Linked DNA regions of Nothobranchius furzeri. The protein of the gene in region 5 purifies or fractionates together with the protein of the main gene of each other region. This does not show direct contact. Links are inferred from orthologs where the notes say so. Each region holds a gene or a part of one and is shown on either strand. Other genes may lie near its edges.

Region 1 (4,623 bases), on a different chromosome or scaffold from region 5:
GGGAGAGGCAGCGATAAGGCTGAAGGAGAGATGCTAGATCTGACCTTATTGACTTTGTCCACAAAGAAAGACAGAAAGTTCTCACAGTCTGTAACACCTCTTGTGTAATGACCTCTTGTCATAAAACAAGACATAAAGGAATGGCAGCAGCAACAGTGATGCTCAGGTTTAAGGAAATTCTCCAAATGACCGATTACAGAAACAAACATGTCCCCCATGTGTTAAGTGAAATAATTATCATCTAACCTGGAAGGGTTCCAGGATATACAGCTGCAGCTGAGCTTGCATGAGATCTCGTGCTGCAGAGACCACTGGCTCAGGTTCATCACGTCAGGAGCCTCGTAGATCCTCACCACTCCATCAGCAGAGCAGGTGGCCAGCATCAGACCCATGTGTTTAGGAGCAAACTTCACATCAGTTACAGATGTTCTGCTGTCCACCAGTGTTGTTCTCTTTATCTGAATCAGAGCACCAGAAACACGGGTCAGGACTCGAGACAGGCAAACCTATGAAAACATTAATGACTGAGCTGTGGCTGTACAAACCCAGTGGCTCAGGCCTCTCTGTTTGTCATTGGACTCCCCTACGATCTCCTCCCAGACAGCAGCTGTTCTGTCGAAGGAGCAGGAGGCCAGGACCTGCCCAAACTCTGGATGGGCCCAGGTTACTCTCCACACTGATCCACTGTGGGTCTGCACACACATCATTACATCATGGATAAGTCCAAAATACACAAATATACACTCACCAGTCACTTCATAGGTACATCTGCTACCTCTGGGGTCAATCTTTCGTAAACATGGCCTATCATTCCATCTGTATGCTGACGATTGCCAGATTTACTCTCCATTGTGTCAGGAGAAAGGTCACTTTATTCAGTCCTTTGTCTCCTGTGTTAATGAGGTGAAGTCTTGGCTAATGTCCAACTATCTACATCTGAATGAGGGAAAGACAGAGCTCATTGTTTTTCACCCCAACAGCAGGAATGTGGATCGTTATGCTGATCTTGGCCCTCTTTCTCCATACTCAAAACCAGTTGTTACCAGTTTGGGGGTGAAACTTGATGTAGGACTTAAATTTGATGCTCACATCAATTCTGTGATCCGGTCCAGTTTCTTTCACCTGAGACGCCTTGCTAAAATCAAGCATATGCTGTCAAGAGCCCACCTGGAGCGGGTACTGCATGCCTTTCTAATTTCTTGGCTTGACTACTGCAACTCTCTATATGCAGGGTTGTATCAGTCAACACTGCATCGCCTACAGGTTGTGCAGAACAGCGCTGCCAGGTTCCTGACTGGGACCAGGAAACGGGACCACATCAGTCCAGTTCTGGCCTCCCTGCACTGGCTTCCGATTTCCTATCGCTCACAATTCAAAATACTCGTCTTTGTTTATCATTTCTTCCAGGGTGGTGCTCCCCCCTATCTAGCCACACTCCTGAAAAGACACTCCCCATCACGCGCTCTGCGCTCCTCTGACCAAGGCCTGCTCGCTGTCCCTCGGTCTAGGTGTCGTACCCGTGGGGACCGAGCTTTCTCAGTCCTAGCACCGTTACTCTGGAACCAGTTGCCACCCTCAGTTAGGCTGTCCCCTTCTCTGCCAGTCTTTAAGAATCACCTAAAAACACACCTCCTCCGCTTGGCATTTCCAGAACATGTTTGATTTTGGCACTCTTTTATGTTGAATCCATTCCACAGTTTTCATTGGTACACTCAATCCATCCACTCAATCCAAATGTGTTTCACACATTTGTATTTTACCGGAATGTTTCATCTATCTTGTAATTTCCATTTTGTATTTTGTAATTTGTATTTTGTAATTTGAATTTCTTTTATTGTTGATTTATTCAATATAATTACTTACAACTGTACCATGTTCAGCGCTTTGGGCTTCCTGACAGGGTTGCGGAAGGCGCTTTATAAATAAAGCTTTGATTGATTGAAAGCTTTGATTGATTGACCTATTCTACAGCTTTGCACATTTCCACTCAGCCAATCGCATGACGGGCGGCACTGTCCATTTAGGCATCTAGACATGATGAAGGCTACTTGCTGAAGTTGAAACTGAGCATCAGAATGTGGAGGAAAAGACATTTCCATGGTTTGAATGTTGTATAGAATAGAAGAAGAGAAGCTGAAGAGTTTGACCATGTCCAGCCCTTTATGACCACATAGACCCATCTTCTGATGCTACTTCCAGCAGCACCATGTCACATAGCTCAGATCATCTCTAACTAGTTTCTAGAACTGGACTCTAATGGCCTCCACAGTCAACAGATCTCAGTCCAGCCCAGAACCTTTGGGATGTGGTGGAACTGGAGCTTCTCATCATGGTTGGAGCCGATGCTGTCATGTCAGGTTGGACCAGAGCCTCTGAGGACCACTTTAACTTCTTGTTGGCTCTTTGAGATGAAGGATTAAGGTGGTTCTAAAGAGGTCTAAAAGAGGTCCAACCCGGATCTATTGGCAAACTTGATAGTGCCCGTGAGTGTAGAGCAATAGTAAATCTGTTGAAACAGCAAAGATTACCCAGGAAGGGCTTTTACGGTCATGTAAACAAACGTAAGCAGGTTGTTTACCTTCCAGCTGGCTGTGCAGTGCCACTCTCCATTCTCACTTTTGTCCCAAACCTGTCAGGAAGTCACAATAAACAGCTGCTGTTACGTCATCTCCACACATTAATTTTAAACTGACAACACACGAAATGAGTTCCTATGGTTCCTACCTAAAACACAACACTCGCTGCCTTACGTGATTGAAGCTTTTACTGATACGTTCATATTCCAGTCAAACGTCTGCACACATTAGCCTGCATGCTACAATGTAAGTACAGTAACATGCAATACTTTAAATTAGTTTATAGTTTTAAAACAAATTTTGTCTAATTTAGCTAATAAGCGCATAATGTGCCAGCACACAACACGAGTGTGTTCAGTAAGAAGCTAGGAACGTGGGTGACGCTAACATGCTAGCTTGAGTCAGCTCACCTTCACACTCTGGTCGCTGGAGCATGTTGCCATTCTCCGGCCGTGAAAATCGTAAGAGACATCGTGGATCAGATCTTTATGGTCCGCAGCGATACTCCGAGCTACGAACATGGTTAGAAGAAAAACAACAGCGAGATTAGCTGCACTGCACTGGTTAGCACAAGCTCCCGCCTGTCACGTGACAGAGAGAAAGAGAGAGAGAGAGAGAGAGAGAGAGAGAGAGAGAGAGAGAGAGAGAGAGAGAGAGAGAGAGAGAGAGAGAGAGAGAGAGAGAGAGAGAGAGAGAGAGAGAGAGAGAGAGAGAGAGGTTTTTGAACAGTGAACCACATTGGGGGGGGGGGTGCTTCAATTCAAACAGGGTTGCCAAGTTTGGCGAATTTACTGCATTTTAGATACAAATGAGATGTTCATGGTACACTTAAGCATAAGTCACTCACTTCTTAGGGTTCTACAACCCCCTTCAAAGCACTTTACAATACAACCAGTTATTCACACACACACACACACACACACACACACACACACACACACACACACACACACACACACACACACACACACACACACACACACACACAAACACACACACACACACACACACACACACACACACACACACACACACACACAATGAGCCCCAGGGCAACTGTAGCTACGATGTAGCTCATCACCACCAGCACCAGCATGTTAATGTTTATGCATTGGGGAATTACACTTTGGTTTTGTTAAGAAGGGAAGGGGAGATGACCGTGTTTAACCTGTAACATAAATACAGTTATTATTGCATTTTTAGCTAAACAATAAGAGAATGAGTTCCCCTCATGAGTTGCTATGGCCACAAATGCTGTAGCATTTCATTTAATTAAAGAGCAAGTCACACTACAAGAAACTTACTACACTCCCACTTCATGTTTGAAAAATGCAACGAATGCGTTTGCCTGGCTGACCGAGAGGGCGGAGCCGTTAACAAACACACACAAACAGGTTCACAACGGCATTGTGACATCATAATGTACCAGCTGACTTCAAAGGGTACCTCTTAGCCAACAGTGATGGCAGATTTAAATTCAAATGTAGTGCAGAGTTTTTACCTGAAGGGGGCGCAACACTGACAGTTTTAGGCTGCATATTTAAATTATAAGATGCACTAAAGTGCCAAATTATTGACTACACACATCTATAGAGCTCCGGACCCCACGTGACTCTCAGTTAGTAGACGCCATATTGGCAGGGAAAAAATGGTAAACAAACACGGATCGTAAACATGAACATGAACGGGATCGGCTTGGATTTTACTTCGTCTGAGTTTACTTCACACTTTAAAACTGAAGAAATCGTTTTATATAGTCAGAAATTAAATAGACCAAACATCTCCGACCCTTAACCGTGCCCCTGGGATACTTTTTTAAAACGCCAGAAGCTGTCGGAGCGGACTTCTTACCGGATCTGGCCGGGGAACCCCTTGGGATTTCCCCGGAGGAGCTGGCTCAGGCGGCTGGGGAAAGGGAAGTCTGGACCTCTCGACGCTACTGCCCCCGCAACCCGACTCCGGATAAGCGGATGAAAATGGATGGATGGACAAATAACAGATTTACACGTAAGTAGTTTAAATAGAGTGCTGTGCTGTTTGAATGTAT
Region 2 (4,496 bases), on a different chromosome or scaffold from region 5:
AATATTTTCTGAAACATGTCATCTATGGCTCCACCTGGTGATGAGGTGAAAAATTCAACATGAGATTTCTTTAGAAATACAACCTGCCCCCCCTCTCTTCCTTTTGTATCTTTCTTTCTCTTTCACCTCTGACTCCGTGTCTGGTCGGAATTACAAAGCATTCAAAAACAATAACAATAAAGTTTTAAGTACCAGGTGTGACATTAAAAGCAGACGCTTTGATGCTCCACCTGAGAGTAAATCTGTAAGGCTTGTCACCAGCATTCAGACATCAATTCTGTTTGCTTCACAGCCAGACAGGACACGGGGGGGAAAAAAAAGAAAAAAAAAGAAATCGGACCTGGGAGCAGCTGGCGATGGTGCTGGTGGGAAGACCAATAGAAGGAGCCCAGCCGACGTCTCTGACCCAATCACTGTGCGCCTCCAACTTCTGGTCCTCTTTCCACTGACCGTCTTCCTCTCTGCAGGCAGAACATTATTCAGGCCACAGAATATTAGCTACATCTGACGTTCACTGTTGAAAGTGTTCTTTTTTTTATCCATACAGGATGACAGATTTTCAACAGCAACTTACTTCCAGAGTTTCACCAGGTTGTCACATCCGCCAGAGACGAAGCGTTTGACGTAGTTTGGTTTCTGACCTGATGGCTGATTGATCAGGCTGCCTGGAACTACAGCAGGAGCCCAGCTCACTGCATTACAGCCAATCTGAAGCAAAAAATAAAGCTTTTAATTATTCTAAAGATACACTTCACGCCCCAAAAGACACAGAAACACTAAATTAGAAAAGGTGAGACAGAATAAAGTTTAAAAGATTGGTGACAACTTAGGAAAACCATTTCATTTTTAACTCACGGTGTGTGCGTTGCTGATCTTCTTGACGTCCCACTGCTGATCACCAGTAAATGTGAGGAGGGAAATTGCTCCATCTGAACTGCCACAGGCTAGGATTAGACCAAATTCATACGGACCCCAGCAGACTGAATTCACTGCAAACACAGAGACAGAGTTAAGGACGAGATCAAGTTGTGTGGAAAACTATTCAGTCAAACTGATCTCTCAGCCCCAATATATGAACATGAATTTCTTTGTAATTTCTTAAAAAGGAAGGATCAATTAGAAAGGGAAAAAGAAATGTACTCAAACAAAAGAGAATGTTGTAGAAACAGAACTTAATCTGAATATTTCATTTTTCTAAAGGTGTTGGCAAAAAAAAAGAGAACATATCTGAAACAAGACGTGTACTTTGGTGCATTACACTGACCTGTCGGGCAGAAGAAGAAATAAAATTACAACATTAAGATCAAAACATTTGTTATCTGTAAGAAAAACGGAACTTCTTCCAGCATTACTAGCACCTGAACTTCTTTCAAGAAGGCCACATGGATTAGCAGAATGAGGAGGAGGAGCACATTTAAACCACTAGAGGGATATTCAATTCCGGTCCTGGAGGGCCGGTATCCAGCACATTTTAGTAGTTTCTCTGCTCTAACACACCTGATTCAATGGTTGAATCACCTGTGCAGCAGCTCATCTGGCTCTGCAGAAGCCTGTTAATCACCTGCTGATTGAAATCAGGTGTGTTGAAACAGTTAAAACTAAAACATAATGGATACTGGCCCTCCAGGCTTGGAAATGAACACCCCGGCACTAGAATAATGGAGAACTCTACCTGATGACTCGTGTCCAGTGTACTCATACATCTTGTCCCAGGTGCCGTTCTCCTCCTTCCAGATGACGACTTTGCGGTCGTATGAACAGGATGCTAGAATGTTGCCGAACATTGGATGAGCCCACGCCACCTGCCACACAGGGCCCTCGTGGCTACATGATGCAGGACACACACACACACAAATAAATAAATAAAAATACATTACAGAACAGGTGAAGATTAAATCTTTAGGAAATAAATGGAAGTGTATTGACATTCACTTGACAACTCTACTTACGTAAATTTCTGTGCATATTCCAAAGCTTAGATCTCTTACCCTCTGAGGTCTGCCACCAGGATCTGTCCACCATTGCGGACGTCAAAGATCTTAACGGTGCGGTCAGAAGAACACGTGGCGAGTCGAGTCCCGTAATAGTCCATTTGGGCATCATGCTGAAACAGACAACAAAGCAACACCAGGAATGTTGGTGGGGATTTCTATGGGGCAGCAAAAGCACCAAACAATGGAAGCATGACACCTGGTTTATTCATAAATGAACTGATGGTGCTAAACTGAAACCCATTCCTTAAATCTTTCACCATCACATAACAAATGTGCGGCATAAACTGCATCATTTGAATGTTTGTTTTGGTTTTGATTTCCTTAAATTGAAACATTGAGAACATGATTAATCTTATCTTTTTAGGGAGAATGTGAATACGTGAATGATTTCGGCTAGATTTTCCCTACAACTAAAACGAAAATGCAAAACACGCCGATTAAGTGAAGTTTAAAGACTATTTAACAAATTTTCACAGTCAACACTACAGAATAATCCACATAGCACTGTTTCTGTAATTATTACACTATAGCATCTGGTACAGTTAAGACAAACATTTTGACTGAACGATCTAAAAGCACTAAACTAATTAAAACAATGTGCTACTCCTTTCTCAAAACACACATCCCAACAGTATTACATATTTAAATTAAAAACTGCTGCTTTACACAGAACACTTACACTTGTGGTACTGAATGAAGATAAAAGCTACAGCCGCTAACTGTTAGCTTTTAGCATCAGAGATAAAAATAAAACTGGATAAAACATAAACACTTACGATCATATCCTCGTGTGAAGTGTCCACCGTGTTTATAACGGAAACCTGCAATTGACAAACAAATAAGAACAAAATCAAGCAAATATAAAACTATATCCAGACAGATTAGCCTCCTGCCGTTAGCGATCGTGCTAATGGATTGACAGCTACCAAGACTAGCCAGCAAAATGTAAACATAAAATCAACATCCTAGAATATTTTGAGCTGAAACTAAAACAAAAAGTGACGAAATTCACCATGGCTGTGGCTAAACCGTGTAAACAAGAAGCCCCTGTTCTCTATCGACTAACTTCACAAGGTTCACAATTCCGACGTGGCAACAAGTACAGAAGCCGTTTCCTCCACCGAGTCCCACCTCACTTCCTACCGGGTAAAACAAAACGCCAAATGATAGTTCTGCGTGAATTAAAAAAGAAGAATAATAAAAACTTTAAAAACGCTTCATTTAACAAACAAACAAACAAAAAATAATCAAACAATAAAAAGGAAACAGTTTATTTGAGCTAAAAGCTAAAATTATTGATGGAAACTTAAATGTACAAAGACCCTCTATACATAGAATAGAATAGAATAGAATACCTTTATTGTCACCATACAGGTGTAAAGTGAGATACAGAGCATCTCCTACTCAGTGTAAAACAAACATACTTGGGACACACACACACACACACACACACACACACACACACACACACACACACACACACACACACACACACACACACACACACACACACACACACACACACACACACACACGCACACACACACAGTACATTTACACCTGTCTGTAATCATATTATAATTACTAATAAAATAGTAACATGAATTCACGTAAACAAATAGAAAAAGACAGAAAACAGAACACATCGATACATTACATTCCCTTTATCATTTCAATACAACATTAAAACAAAAAAAAAACATTATTTTAAGAGGAACAAGTGCTTCTTTTTCAGGTCTCCTAAATATCAACTGGTAATAATAGTCAATTTTTGAAGATGTCTCTCAGATTGTGATTTTTGGACAGCAAATTATCACGTCGTTACCCCAGATGACCACAAGGTGACGCCATAAACCCACAATAGTCTGACCTGACAGCTGTTTTTATCCTAACCCACCAAGGACCAGGTTCGGCCTTTTACTGAGGTCCTTGCTGCTGCAGATGAGGGCTCAAGCAATTCTGTATGACCCTCGCTACATAGCTGCAATAAACACGTTCGTCTTCCTTAGCGAGGCGCTGATGGGTGTGGATATGAGGCACCAGACCACGGTAACACACACACACACACACACACACACACACACACACACACACACACACACACACACACACACACACACACACACACACACACACACACACACACACACACACACACACACACACACACACACACACACACACACACACACAAATTATTCCATATAAATATGAAATATCAACCTGACTGATCTTTGAATGTTTAATCAGAAGAATATAGTTACTTTTACTTGTTCAGGGACCATAAACACACTTTGTATTACTGTAATTCAGACAGAGTCAGGTATATAGTTTATGAAATTAATTTAATTCTTTTACAAAATTAATATTTATACATGACAAGATATGAATAACGAGATGCGATATTGTGGATGTGAGGTGATGTAATGTGATGTGTGAGGTGGTAGGATGGAAGCTAGATGTTTTATCAAGCCCACTGATAAAACATCTTATAGCCCCAAA
Region 3 (3,994 bases), on a different chromosome or scaffold from region 5:
GGTCACTGAGCTGGTTGGTTTAAAGGACCCTGACCAGTGTTATTGATGATCTCAACTGGCACATCTCTGGTAGCTCTTGTTAAATCCCATAGAATCCGTTTGTTTTTTTTAACAAGTGTTTTTCATGGACAGCGCCAGCACTTCTGACCCTCCTCCGACTGCCAACATTAAGCCAACGCCTGTAGTCGCCACACCCAGCAAACAGACCAACAACCCGGGAAGTAAACCCACTCCACGAGCAAGCATCAGACCCATGATTACCCCGGCCCCCGTGCCCACACCAACACCAACTGCTACAGTCATGCCAACCACACAGGTGGAGACCCAGGAAGGTAGCTGCAAAGTACAAATCAAATCAAATCCAATATGTTACTGAATTTTTTCTAAGTCCTGAACAAAGTGTAATTTCCTGTTAACCCTGATCTTCAACAGCCATGCAGTCGACTGAAAGCCCACCGGTGGAGCACGTGACCGTGTACGGCAGTGCCAGTGGTTCTGTGCGCTCCGCCAGCCCAAATGTCCAGACCACTTTAGCTAGTCCCATGTTGACCGTGCAGCAGACCCAGACCCAGGCCACGGCATTTGTTCAGCCGACGCAACAACAGAGTGTGACCCACTCAGAACCGGCCAGTCAGGACCCTCTGCCAGTTGTGATCGAGGCAACGCCCAGTTCTCAGGTGGAATGGCCATCAACGTCTTCCACTTCCTCTGTGTTTGGCACTGGTGAGAAATCCTCATAATAATCTGATGTGGATTAGGATTTGTTATTTACTAAGAAGATGTTTTTACAATTTTAACCATTTCTTTTTTAAATAATGGGAAAGTCCAAGTTAAGGAAATGTGTATCATATTAAAAAGCATTTTGCTCATTTTTATTTTACATTTAAAAATGGACAAAGGAAGATCTCACTGACTCACACAAAGTTGTATATTTTTGCTTTTCGTGCTACAGTTTAGAATAGATTGAAGGGGGTGGTTAATAATTGTCCATCTCTAGTTTCAGCGACACCGGGAACTTCTGCTTTGTCCAAGAGGCCTCGTGAGGAGGAGGAAAGCAGCGTCGTGACCGCTGAGACCGAAACAACCCAGGAGGACACCTCCAGGACTCCCATAGCCAAAAAGCTGCGCATGATCCAGAGAGTGGGCCCAGAGGTGAGGATCTAAACACCAGTGTTTACCAGATCTTGTTCAAATAAAAGCTGCTCCCATGGCTGATTTTCATCTGGTCTTCCTAGGAGGAGGTTCTGGTTGAGGAGAGTGGCGAAGCTGAAGGCGTAGTTCCATCGGACAGTCAGGATGGTGCAGAGCCAAGCCAGGTCACATGTCATCACTTATTTGAAGTTCTCTTACAGCTTCTGTTTCACCCAATAATGCTTTGGAGAAAAGTAGAATTCATTGAATATTTTTAGGATCTTATTTGGCATAAACATGAAGAGACATGCAACCATGCTAACTTAAACCTTTCGGAGCAAGGGTAGGCGCATATGTGATACAATATTACCGTTGGCACTTTGGCCATTCAGTCCCTTTACCAGAGGAGCGTGAGTTTGGTCCGCATAGCCGGTAGTAAGTCGGACCTGTTCCCAGTGAGGGTTGGACTCCGCCAGGGCTGCCCTTTGTCACCGGTTCTGTTCATCACTTTTATGGACAGAATTTCTAGACGCAGCCGTGGTGTGGAGTGTGTCGAGTTTGGTGGCAGGAGAATCTCGTCTCTGCTTTTTGCGGATGATGTGGTCCTCCTAGCTTCATCCAGCTCTGACCTTCAGCTCTTGCTGGGTAGGTTCGCGGCCGAATGTGAAGCGGCTGGGATGAGGATCAGCACCTCCAAATCTGAGACCATGGTTCTCGACCGGAAAAGGGTGGCTTGCCACCTCCGGGTCGGGGGAGAGGTCCTACCTCAAGTGGAGGAGTTTAAGTATCTCGGGGTCTTGTTCACGAGTGAGGGTAGGAGGGATCGGGAGATCGACAGGCGGATTGGTTCAGCGTCTGCAGTGATGCGGACGCTGAGCCGATCTGTCGTGGGGAAGAGGGAGCTGAGCCAGAAAGCCAGGCTCTCGATTTACCGGTCGATCTACGTCCCAGTCCTCACCTATGGTCATGAGCTTTGGGTAATGACCGAAAGAACGAGATCGCGGATACAAGCGGCCGAAATGAGTTTCCTCCGTAGGGTGGCCGGGCTCAGCCTTAGAGATAGGGTGAGGAGCTCGGACATTCGGGAGGGACTCGGAGTAGAACCGCTGCTCCTCCGGATCGAAAGGAGCCAGTTGAGGTGGTTTGGGCATCTGGTCAGGATGCCTCCTGGACGCCTCCCCGGGGAGGTGTTTCGGGCATGTCCTGCCGGCAGAAGGCCCCCGGGTCGACCCAGGACACGTTGGAGAGGTTACATCTCCAATCTGGTCCGGGAACGCCTTGGGGTCCTGCCGGAGGAGCTGGTGGACAAGGCCGGGGAGAGGACGGCCTGGAGCTCCCTAGTTGGGATGCTGCCCCCGCGACCCGGACCCGGATAAGCGGAGGAAGACGACACTTTGGACACTTAATTTGTTCTGAAATATAATTATTTTCTTGAGATATTCTATCAGCCTGGGTAGAAGACGCTTGGATTCCATGAAATTGCACCTCCAACTGTGTGATTTCCAACCATTTCATGACCTATCCCTAGATCCCAAGCAACGCAGCGTGGACCATGAAGAAGAAAGCAGCTTTGGCAACACGCACACCCACCAAACTTTGCAACCATTCCACTAGCGGTTAACCTTTCGGTTTTGCTCATCCCTCTCCGTCAGGTGGTTTTAACGTTTGAATGGTGCCAGTTTGAAGGAGTAGTTGGTGTTTAAATCCACTCCGGTACTGGCGGAGGTTTAACAATCAGTCTGTGAAATCACTGTCACCTGGCTTGGTCTTGAGAGCTCCTGAAGATAAAATCCAACCGTTTCTAGTGAGTAAGATCTTCTTTGGGAAGACCGAACAAAGTCCTGTACCTCTCACAGCCAAAGATGTGTTTTTGCATTCTAGAGTGCAGACTAGATGAGAAATAAGTAGCTTTTTGTACATCTGAGGAGATTAAATCACCCACTTGCAACTCGGAGAGTGGGCGTGATTGTTTACAGGGTTGGAGCAGGACAGGTTGATACACACCTGCAACTTCCAACTGTTTGCAATAGCTGGGCAGACCAGCAGCCAAAAATCACTTAGGGTGTTTTTGATTAGGAAATAACAAGACAACACTGTCAAAAGCTCAAAAAGTACATTCGCACAATATAGTCCCTGTAAGTAATTAAGTTGATCTCAGTTGTCTTGAATGTGCTGCACAAACAAATCAGACGTGGATCTTGTGGAGTATGGCACTACCTTCTCCCTCTGCTGGGAGCTGTAAGCTGCGTGTGTTTGACCTACATGCTCTTCTCTATGCAGACGGAGGAGTTCTCTAACCTGGAGGAAATGGAGGATGATGTCGCTACTCAGTCCATCATGGAGCACGGGGTCACCCCAACCCAAAGTGAGACCCAAGACCCTCTGCCGCAGGAGGTCATTGTCATCCTGACTGACTCTGAGAGTGAAGATGAGCAAGACGACGACGACGAGGAAGAAGAGGAAGAGCAGGTAGTGAGTTTGTGTGAAACACTTTTGAAGTCTCTGTGAAATATATGGGTAAGGCTCATTGGTGCATTGACCTCCTGGTGACTGTAGGATTATGTGGAGGAGGAGGAAGAAGATGAAGAAGAGGAGGAGGAGGAAGATGAAGAAGAGGAGGAAGACGATGGAGAGATGGCAGAGGAAGGAGACGACAGTAATGAGGGGAGTGGAGATGGCAATGAGGCCTATGAAGGGGACGACACAGAGGTTAGAGCATCACCGTGCTCACTTCCAGTCAGATGTTTGTTCTCTTTTCCTGCTCACCGCTCAGTTGCTCCACCGCCTCAGCTCACTGTCACATGTGATCGACCCTGCTGCTGTAACCTGTCTGCATGGGATTTTCACCCATATTTACTTGAGC
Region 4 (4,542 bases), about 1.6 Mb from region 5:
ATATAGTTCATTTTGAGTTTCTTTTTTACATTAATGGTATATTTTTTTACAGTAAGATGCCCAAATTTTTATTTGAGACTCGCCGAACGGCATTGAATTCACAGATAAAAAAGATGTGGGTTCAACTTTCATTTTGGAACAATTTTTCAAGCAAGGGAAGGGAATGATCTGAGCATGCAGGAGGACTGACCCATCATAAACCTTTGTCGGCTGTGCTGAAGAGAAAAGTACAGAACCAAATTATTTATTTAATTAGCTGTGCGTTCTCCTGTCCTCCGGGCCACACACACACACACGGGACTGTCAGCTGCTATTTTCGTTAAGGAGTGTGCACGTACAGCATGTGCGCCTCGTGCACGAGCCTACTATTGAAGCTGCCGTTACGCTTTTGGCCTGAGGGGGCAATCGCAAGCATCAAAATTCAAAACTCCGTAAAGTCCCTTTAATAATAGTGTGTATTATTTACACTAATCAAAAATTCTGTAATGTTCGCAGACATCTAAACCTTAGAAATGAAATAAAATCAATATTAAATTTAAAAATAATTAATATTGTTTCTTCATTAAGAGAACAGTTATCTGTGAGCACTTTTTATACTTGATATTGTCCAGCTGAAGCAGACATCTGCTTATTTCTAACAGAGCTGAGCTGTGGGAGAAAATATACAGGCTTATTTAATTTTATTTTCCCATCACCTGTGAGTTTTGAGCATTCACTTAATATTAATTATAAAATCATAAATAACAGGTCACTCTGGGCTAGAACGTGTTTCTAGGAACAGAAGCTTGTTGGGTTAGGTTGGCAGCAGCTCACCTGTTCCTGACAGGAGAAATCCTCTCATCAGCAGCAGGTGATCTACAGAGTAACACCGGCCCGAAAAAATAAATAAATAAATAAAAACCCAAAAAACACCGAACTCAAATAGGGCCACCGGGAATTTCCCCAGCTGGGTCCTGGTTCCGCCCACCGTCGGATATATAAACACACAACTTAGATCTGAAAAACGGAACTATGAAAATATAGTTGACTTGCAAAAAAAGGTATTAGGGTTGACACTGCTAAGATTACACGTGTGATCCACCGAACAAGCAAGGCAATTGACACATAATAACACAGTATTCTGTTACCAGTCAGCAAAGATTTACAAAATAATTATGGTAAAATGTTATACCTGATGGTAGGTATCCTGTTCAGCTGAGACTCTGGACTCCAAGCCAAAACTTCGACTTGCAACTCGTGATGAAAAGCTCGAAGTATGTTGAATTCAACTCCCTCCACCTCCATATCCTCCTCCTGTTGATGCAAATTCACATGAAAGACAAAAATAATCGATGTGAAGGGTAAACCTGGCTGTGTGGAGCTGCATCTCTAACCTGGAAGAGGCAGGTGGCCACCACCACATACTGGTTCCCACCGTAAGCCAGGAGAGAGACGGGGGTACCCGAGCTGAAGGGACTGAACTCCACCACATGGACGTAGTCGTCACATGGCACAGTGTAGCTGGGACTGTGGATAGCGCCCTCCTGCATGACGTGTATGCTGGGAAAGCTGGCTCTGAACCGGGACTTCCACTGTTATTTATATCAAAACAAAGAGGGGCAAATTAGCACATTAAACAGGATCATTTCTGCACAGATCCGGTAAAACTGTTCTAGTAATGAGTTGTTTCAGTTTGTCTCAGTTGTATTCAGGTAATAATGTAATTGGTTACTTTACTCACAACTGTTAAACGTGTTACTCGGTCTATCATTTTGATGACTTCTCACTTTTCACAGAATGTGCTTGAAAAAATATGTCTTCATTATTTCTTAGTTCATCCAATGGCTAGTTTTAAGTTATTAATATTAATATAATGCACAAATGCAGGGGCTCCACATTGACATAGCTGGTAGCCTTGCAGCAAGAAGGTTGCAGGTTAAAGTCCTGGCTATGGCACTGACCTAAGAGATGCATTTCAGGTTAATTGTCTCAAGTTTTGAGTGTGAGTGACTGGTTATCTGTGCGTTCCTGTGATGGATTGGAGAACTATCTAGGCTGTTCTCTGCTTCTCGCCTGATGATCGCTGGAGTTACCAGCTACCCATGACCCTGCTGAGGGTAAAGCAGTTAGGAGTGAACTGCTTATGCTCTTGTATTTGTTTATTTAGGCAGAAACCCTTCTCGACTTGGAAACCCGGATTACTGATTAACTTTTATTTAAAATGACACAAAAATAAATCTGAAAGATGTTCAGACTAATTAAAAATTATATAACTTAAATCATAAAATCTAAAAGGCACAGGCTGGTTTTGGCTGAGGATAACGGAGAGGGCTTGATCACCTGGTTTCCTTAAATTGTACTTTTCTTTTACAAATTTTGGAAGGTAGTCCTGGTAAAATCAGTGAGAAACATTGCGAATGATGCTACAAAGCTATTTAGGTCACTGTTTAATTCGGCAAATTGTAAACACAAATCAAACTTGAATAAATCATAAATAGAAAAATTACACAGGAAAGATACTTGAGTTACATTAAACTACAGTTTTTGTAAACGGCTTTACAGTTACCAGTTACAACAGTGGGGTATCCCGAACATTTGGGAACAAAAACTGCCTCTTTTGTCGCGTATAAATGTATTTCCAGTAAACTCTGTCCACTCCACGCGTGCACATAACAGTGAGCTAAAACCTGGGGCTCCAATTATTACTGGTTTTTAGCAGTAAATGCTCAAACCGACAACTTATGATCCAATTATTTCTATATATTGTATATTTCCATTTCAAACCCTGTAATAGCTTCAATACTTTACCAAACTACTGGCAGTGAAATTGCTGCATAAACAACGCCGCGCGCTCGATGGTTTTCTCATCTACTTCCGGATACGATTTGTGGAACGTACCATCATTTGAAAATATCAGGGGGTTAAGGGGTACAACGAACCTAAATAAATCATACATATTTTTTTAAATACATGAAAATACAATCGTACTTAATCATAATTTATGCTAACTTCAACTTCAGTAAACTGTTAACAGTTCGTAAAATGTGATTGATCTAAAAGTACATTTGTACAAAGCCCCCCTGTGTGCTTGCTTCAATTTAATTGGCCAGAAGGCACATGGCGTCACAGTCGATTTAAAATTTCAAAACAGCTGCTGCCTTTGTCGTGGACTTGGAAGGCTGCAACGAGAAAACAGGTTAGAACTGTTTAAACGGTTTAAACCCACTTTTTGGGGTCAAATTTTAATATAAATGTGTCGAGTGTGTGGGGGTACATACAGGTGATGAAAATAAAAATAAATATAATGGAACACGTTAGTTGTGTTATTTCAGCAGTTGCTGGCCACAACATCTGACTGAAGATGTTAGGCTTTACATTTATGTTCAACATATTTTATTTGCCTTTCAAACACAAACTAAAGCTCTTCTAGTAAATGTTACTTAACCCTTTTCTAAATCTTGAAACCAACACAAAAACAGTCTTAAAGAGCTCTTTCTGCTATTTTTGTTATAGGATATAATGACAGCTTTAGGGGACCGCCTCAAGGTGATGGTGAAAACCTTCAGGAGAGAGTGTCACAGGATGTTGGAGTCTGAAAGGACCACCATTCATGGAGCTGACGGCATGCTGCTGGTGCTGCAGGTGGCCATGGCAGAAGTGAACAAACAGGTGAGCGTTAGTTCATCCTGTTTGTGATGCAGATTAATTTTAAAAATCAAATCTTCCAATAACCTAGGTTTTAGTTTTGTTAACATATATTTAAAATTTTTCATATTTATTTCACAGAGGCATGCACTCTGTAATAAAACATAATAATAGAACGTCCATACCTGATGACAATACCCGAATGAGACTTCTGATTGCTAATTTTTTGGACCTCTGCAGGTCTTTCTCCTTTTGGACTGGTTGGTTCCAACCCATCAGTAATTGTGACTTCTTCTCTCCTCCTCTGACAGCTGAATGGAGAGTTCAGAGTGGCTCTGAGTGACGTCCTGATGGCCTGGAAACACTTATTGTTAGACAGACTTCACCTGCCGCCCCCCAGCTCTGCACGTTTGGAGAACTATGATCTCATCCTGGAGGCGTATGAATCTTTCCTGCAACGCTCCAACACGCTGGATCTGATTGATGTCCTGTCCATGTACAAACAGCTCAAGGTGGTGGACTCTGACCCAGAGGAGCCCGTAGGCTCGGTGAGCAGTAAATAGTTAGTGGAGACTTGATTTGGTTATTGAATTATAGATAAAACTGATGAAAAATCTAATGTGCTCTTAACTTTTTTGTTTTTCACCAAGATCCAGCTGTTTGAGGTTTTATCAGGTAACATGGAGGTCCCAGAGGGGCCAAACTCACCAGTCCCTTCAACACCATCCAGCAGAAGCAGACCTTGCAGCTCACAGGTGGGCCCACTTGGTGCTGTAATGATAATAGAGGGTAACTTGGGTTAAGTAAATTGCTTGAAAAGCTATTTATATTAATACCACTACTTGTGACCAATAGCTGCGATACTCTATATAAATAGAATATCCCCTGCTTGGTCTTAGGATGATTAATTAGAAGATC
Region 5 (3,994 bases):
TCCGTCCACAAACAGCAGCACGTTGTAGATCCTCTCCTTCACATCTTCAGTAAGAACGTCCAGACGACATGACCAGGTGGTCAGAGCGGCCTGAGACACCAAACACACAGCAACACGTTACCAAAGCAGTCTAAAAGGCTTAAACACAATGGGCCCGGTGCTGAAGAGAAGCCTTTGATTAAGCATGTTGACAATATAATCTATTGAATCTTGAATTGTAAATCATTATTAATGCTCTAAAATATCGTCGAGACACACAAACTAAATTGTTTTAAAGCTGCACAGCAGCATAAAAGGTCATTTTGGCCAGAAACCACCAGAAGAGACTTCAGCTAACTACAGACAGAATTTGATCCCTTCGTAGGCTTGCAGAACCTTCCAGAATGTTCCAGCGTAGCGGAGAGGTGCCGGTGCTACCAGCAGAGGGAATGATAACAATGCTAACGGTAAACTAATAAAACTATTGATCTATTTATCTGTTTATACCCTTTAGGTTGTTTGGATCATAACGTTGCGACGGGACTCATGAGTAGACAAAAAAACAGATGGACCTCAATGTAAACAGTAATTATAATAAACTACTTATATGAGCTTTGGTTGATTTGAGGAATGCATGTTTGAGACTCTTATTGTGAAGGACTGAAGGAAGTTATTGAATTCTGCCCTGGACACAGATGCAGTATTAGCCTAAACACTGAACCTAATAAAACTAATTTTTTTGCATTTATTCAGCAAAAACACCCAGAAGCTTTAGTTACAGGTGCAGCTGGGTTCTGGAGAACAACAGGATTCACTTCCTGGAGCTTACAGGTGAAACTAACCATTTATGTCAGTAACGCAGCTCAGACTGAGAGACCATCTAAAGGCTCAGGAACCCTCTGCAGCTGTTCTGGCTTCATCAGCTGATCAGAGTCTTCCCCGAGTCTAGAATATTGAGCCTTTTCACAACAGTCTGACTGCCGGAGGTTTTGAACGTGTGGGTTTCATCAGCTGTAAGCCACAGTCATAACATCTGGATTTGCCTGGAATGAGTCGGTCTCTGATTCGTTTCACCTTTTAGACTGAATTAGTGACATCAGTGAACTTTTGTACCAGATTGTAATTTTTCCCGTTTCACCTGTACTTTTTGCATCCTTCAACTTGAATCTACACATTTACTTCTGGTTCTGTCCAACAGATTCAGTTCTTATGGAACCTTTACGCCGCAGGTGGCCAGCTTCACGCCCAGAACACACCCGCTGCTCCTCTGTTCACATCAGGCGATAATTTCCGGCGAGCACTTCTGCTCACGCCTACTGTTTTCCAATCCCCCCCGAACCCCATTCCCGTGCATGCATGCGTGCGTGTGTGTGTGTGTGTAACCAGCTGGCCCTGCTTGTTATCAGAAACTGCGCTGGTCCTGCTGCTGTTTTGCAGACCAGTTCTTTTCTAAATGGGTAAGTGTGTGTGGAAGTGTACAATACTGTTGTAGTTACCTTTGAATTAAACATATTTGTTTCTATTCAAGTTTATTAAATCCGTCTTTTGCTGTAAAAACTGCATTTAAAATTATGGAAACACTGTTTCTCTGCAGACGTGTGTGTGTGTGTGTGTGTGTGTGTGTTTGTTCATTTTCATCTCTCTAGTCTGTTTAGAAACACAAAAATGATTACATTTATCAATCGCGGTGTTTTATTTAGAAAATTTTCTTTATTTTGTTAAATCTACCGGCCTGCCTCCTGTTTTAGTTCGACTTCCTGCCAAAATGGACGCGGCTCACGAAAAAATGAGAGCTCATGCGGAAACGGCCGTTGCTCGTCGTGCACAGCGCTTCGCGGCGTCGTGCTTCCGCGTCTGGTGTGTTCCGGGTGTCGGTCCTCTGGGACGACTGTCCTGCATGTTTTACATGTTTCCTGTTGAATAAAATGGTTGAATCACCTCCTCACCGCCGTGGGACGATGTGCAGAATCCTGTTATAATCACTTCTTCATTTGAAGGGGACATTTAACGCAATCTCACATTTTGCACCCTTTGGTGACGTCTTGCGTGTCTCTGCTGCCTCTATAAACTCTAAACATGAAAAACTGCTGCTGGAGAAGCAGCAGCTCAAGGAAAATATAAACGACAGGGGCTGGATTATATTTAATCTCTGTAGCTGGTGTACCTGGTAATCCTTCTCTTTCATCTCGTTGGCCACCCTCTCGGTGAACTTGGCCTCGGGCGCAGGTGCTGGTTTTTTTGGTGCTGAACTGCTGTGACTGAACCAGTCGGTAAAGGCCTCGTGAGCTTCCTGTTGGACCAACGACACACAATCACATCAGTGTACCGCTGTCATCCACCTAAAGAGACACATTCAACAGCTGTGAAAGTCAGAACTACTAAACCTGCATCGTTGCTAGGAGACATCCATAATCTGGCTTTTGCGATGAGATTCAAACTAAAAGCTGGTGTTGAGAAATAACGGTGTTTTGTCTGTTTGGTCAAATATTGTGAATGACGCTCAGTTTTTAGCTCAGTGTCTTTTATAGAATAGACGCTCAAAATCGTGATTTAATTCACCCTTAAAAGGCATCCCTATATTATTATTATTAATATTATTATTTTACCGTCATCGTTTAAATTTCGTGGCACAGGAGTGCTCGCTCCGTAATCGGAAGGTTGCAGGTTCTAGCCCTGCTCAGTCTGCTGTTGTGTCCTTGGGCAAGACACTTAACCGCCCTCGCCTGCTGGTGGTGGTCGGAGGGACCGGTGGCGCCAGTGCTCGGCAGCCTTGCCTCTGTCAGGGCGCCCCAGGGCAGCTGTGGCTACATCGTAGCTCATCCCCACCAGTGTGTGAATGTGTGTGTGTGTTGTAAAGCACCTTGGGGGGTTCCAGGACGCTAGAAGGCGCTATATCAAATACAGACCATTTACCATTTCAATTCTGCTCATCCAGCTACAAAACCTTTCCTGAACCCTCATCCTCCTCCACGTGAAAGGTGGCTGAAAGTGATGCCAACGCTAGATGACCTCCTCTCTGTTTAACTCGTTCACTGCCACTGACGACTTAAGTCGTCATCTGCATGTTTTTACTGTGTGGGCGTCGGACGAGCCCCCGCAACGTGAGAACAAACATCTCAGCTCTGAAGTCGATCTTCATCCGCGTACGTCACACGTCACGTGATCAGGAAGCAGAACATCCATGTGTTAGGAGATCGTTTTGGAACGCTGCTGTAAAAAAAGTGAGGCGCGAACCGGAAAAGCTTCTGCCGATCACAATTCAACAACGGATTATGAAAGAACGGATAACGCTCGAAACGCGCGGTTTCTTCCTGATGTAAGAGGTGAGTCTCCGCTTTGTTTTGGTTGTTTTGGCGTCGACATCATCCTAGCGCGCAACGTTCTGTGACTCTAAAAAAAACAGTAAAAACGCTGGAAGCGAATGAGTTTAATGATAAATGACCTTGGCGTGTGTAGCGCCTTTCAGAGTCAGAGGACCCCAAAGCGCTTTACACTACAGCGCATCATTAATCCATTCACACATCTACACGGAGGCTGTGAAGAGCTACACACACGTGTGCTCCATTTTAAGGCCTACCTTTCCCTTCCTCAGTTGCTGAACACAACTTGCGATAACTTTGAGTTTGACTACAAACTAAAGTATTTTGCAGAAAGACAAACTAACGCATGCTTAAACAGGCAAGAAGGTAACAGACCAGGTAGGCTCTGATGCACAGGTGTTCTCTGATGGCGTTCTCATCCTCAGCAGGAAGAGGACCGGTCTGACCAACACTCGTCCACTGAGAGTATATCTTCCTCATTGAGTCTTCAGGAACTTTAGAGAAAACAGCTTTGGCTGCGTCGTGCTTCTGCAGCGCTGAGAGACAAAGAGTCGTCGGTGAAATCCTCGCTGGAGCAAAACGACTAAAACACTCGTAACAGCAAAAATACCGAGGAATCTTCTCATGATGGCGTTGGACTGCTTCAGAGCCTCGGCTCGATGGGCGGGGTCAAACAGCAGCCAATCAATCACATT

The links.
Region 1: the proteins of nup107 (region 5) and seh1l purify together in Homo sapiens (affinity purification with mass spectrometry; 5 studies listed by BioGRID and IntAct, with this or other methods). This does not show direct contact. The link is inferred for Nothobranchius furzeri from reciprocal best matches to the Homo sapiens genes NUP107 and SEH1L.
Region 2: the proteins of nup107 (region 5) and sec13 purify together in Homo sapiens (affinity purification with mass spectrometry; 8 studies listed by BioGRID and IntAct, counting the BioPlex papers as one, with this or other methods). This does not show direct contact. The link is inferred for Nothobranchius furzeri from reciprocal best matches to the Homo sapiens genes NUP107 and SEC13.
Region 3: the proteins of nup107 (region 5) and tprb fractionate together in Homo sapiens (co-fractionation; 4 studies listed by BioGRID and IntAct, with this or other methods). This does not show direct contact. The link is inferred for Nothobranchius furzeri from reciprocal best matches to the Homo sapiens genes NUP107 and TPR.
Region 4: the proteins of nup107 (region 5) and nup37 purify together in Homo sapiens (affinity purification with mass spectrometry; 7 studies listed by BioGRID and IntAct, with this or other methods). This does not show direct contact. The link is inferred for Nothobranchius furzeri from reciprocal best matches to the Homo sapiens genes NUP107 and NUP37.

What each region holds. Positions count from the first base shown.
Region 1 is NC_091745.1:49,023,316-49,027,938, forward strand, and holds the start of seh1l (nucleoporin SEH1), read right to left. Parts: upstream 3,178-4,623; 5' UTR 3,098-3,177; coding exon 2,987-3,097; intron 2,630-2,986; coding exon 2,579-2,629; intron 693-2,578; coding exon 546-692; intron 459-545; coding exon 247-458; intron 1-246. UniProt on the Homo sapiens protein: Component of the Nup107-160 subcomplex of the nuclear pore complex (NPC). The Nup107-160 subcomplex is required for the assembly of a functional NPC.
Region 2 is NC_091743.1:73,558,487-73,562,982, forward strand, and holds the start of sec13 (protein SEC13 homolog), read right to left. Parts: upstream 3,140-4,496; 5' UTR 3,010-3,139; coding exon 3,007-3,009; intron 2,816-3,006; coding exon 2,771-2,815; intron 2,105-2,770; coding exon 1,989-2,104; intron 1,825-1,988; coding exon 1,673-1,824; intron 990-1,672; coding exon 856-989; intron 709-855; coding exon 575-708; intron 462-574; coding exon 341-461; intron 1-340. UniProt on the Homo sapiens protein: Functions as a component of the nuclear pore complex (NPC) and the COPII coat. At the endoplasmic reticulum, SEC13 is involved in the biogenesis of COPII-coated vesicles.
Region 3 is NC_091748.1:67,333,092-67,337,085, reverse strand, and holds part of tprb (translocated promoter region b, nuclear basket protein), read left to right. Parts: intron 1-132; coding exon 133-332; intron 333-432; coding exon 433-723; intron 724-997; coding exon 998-1,152; intron 1,153-1,235; coding exon 1,236-1,316; intron 1,317-3,411; coding exon 3,412-3,600; intron 3,601-3,687; coding exon 3,688-3,840; intron 3,841-3,994.
Region 4 is NC_091741.1:39,627,179-39,631,720, forward strand, and holds the start of nup37 (nucleoporin Nup37), read right to left. Parts: upstream 2,909-4,542; 5' UTR 2,848-2,908; coding exon 2,788-2,847; intron 2,763-2,787; exon of another isoform or gene 2,546-2,762; intron 1,572-2,545; coding exon 1,374-1,571; intron 1,294-1,373; coding exon 1,172-1,293; intron 1-1,171. Other genes in the region: parpbp (PCNA-interacting partner), read left to right, coding at 3,499-3,648, 3,936-4,172, 4,275-4,379. UniProt on the Homo sapiens protein: Component of the Nup107-160 subcomplex of the nuclear pore complex (NPC). The Nup107-160 subcomplex is required for the assembly of a functional NPC.
Region 5 is NC_091741.1:38,068,219-38,072,212, forward strand, and holds part of nup107 (nuclear pore complex protein Nup107), read right to left. Parts: coding exon 3,910-3,994; intron 3,836-3,909; coding exon 3,675-3,835; intron 2,270-3,674; coding exon 2,144-2,269; intron 91-2,143; coding exon 1-90. UniProt on the Homo sapiens protein: Plays a role in the nuclear pore complex (NPC) assembly and/or maintenance. Required for the assembly of peripheral proteins into the NPC. May anchor NUP62 to the NPC. Involved in nephrogenesis.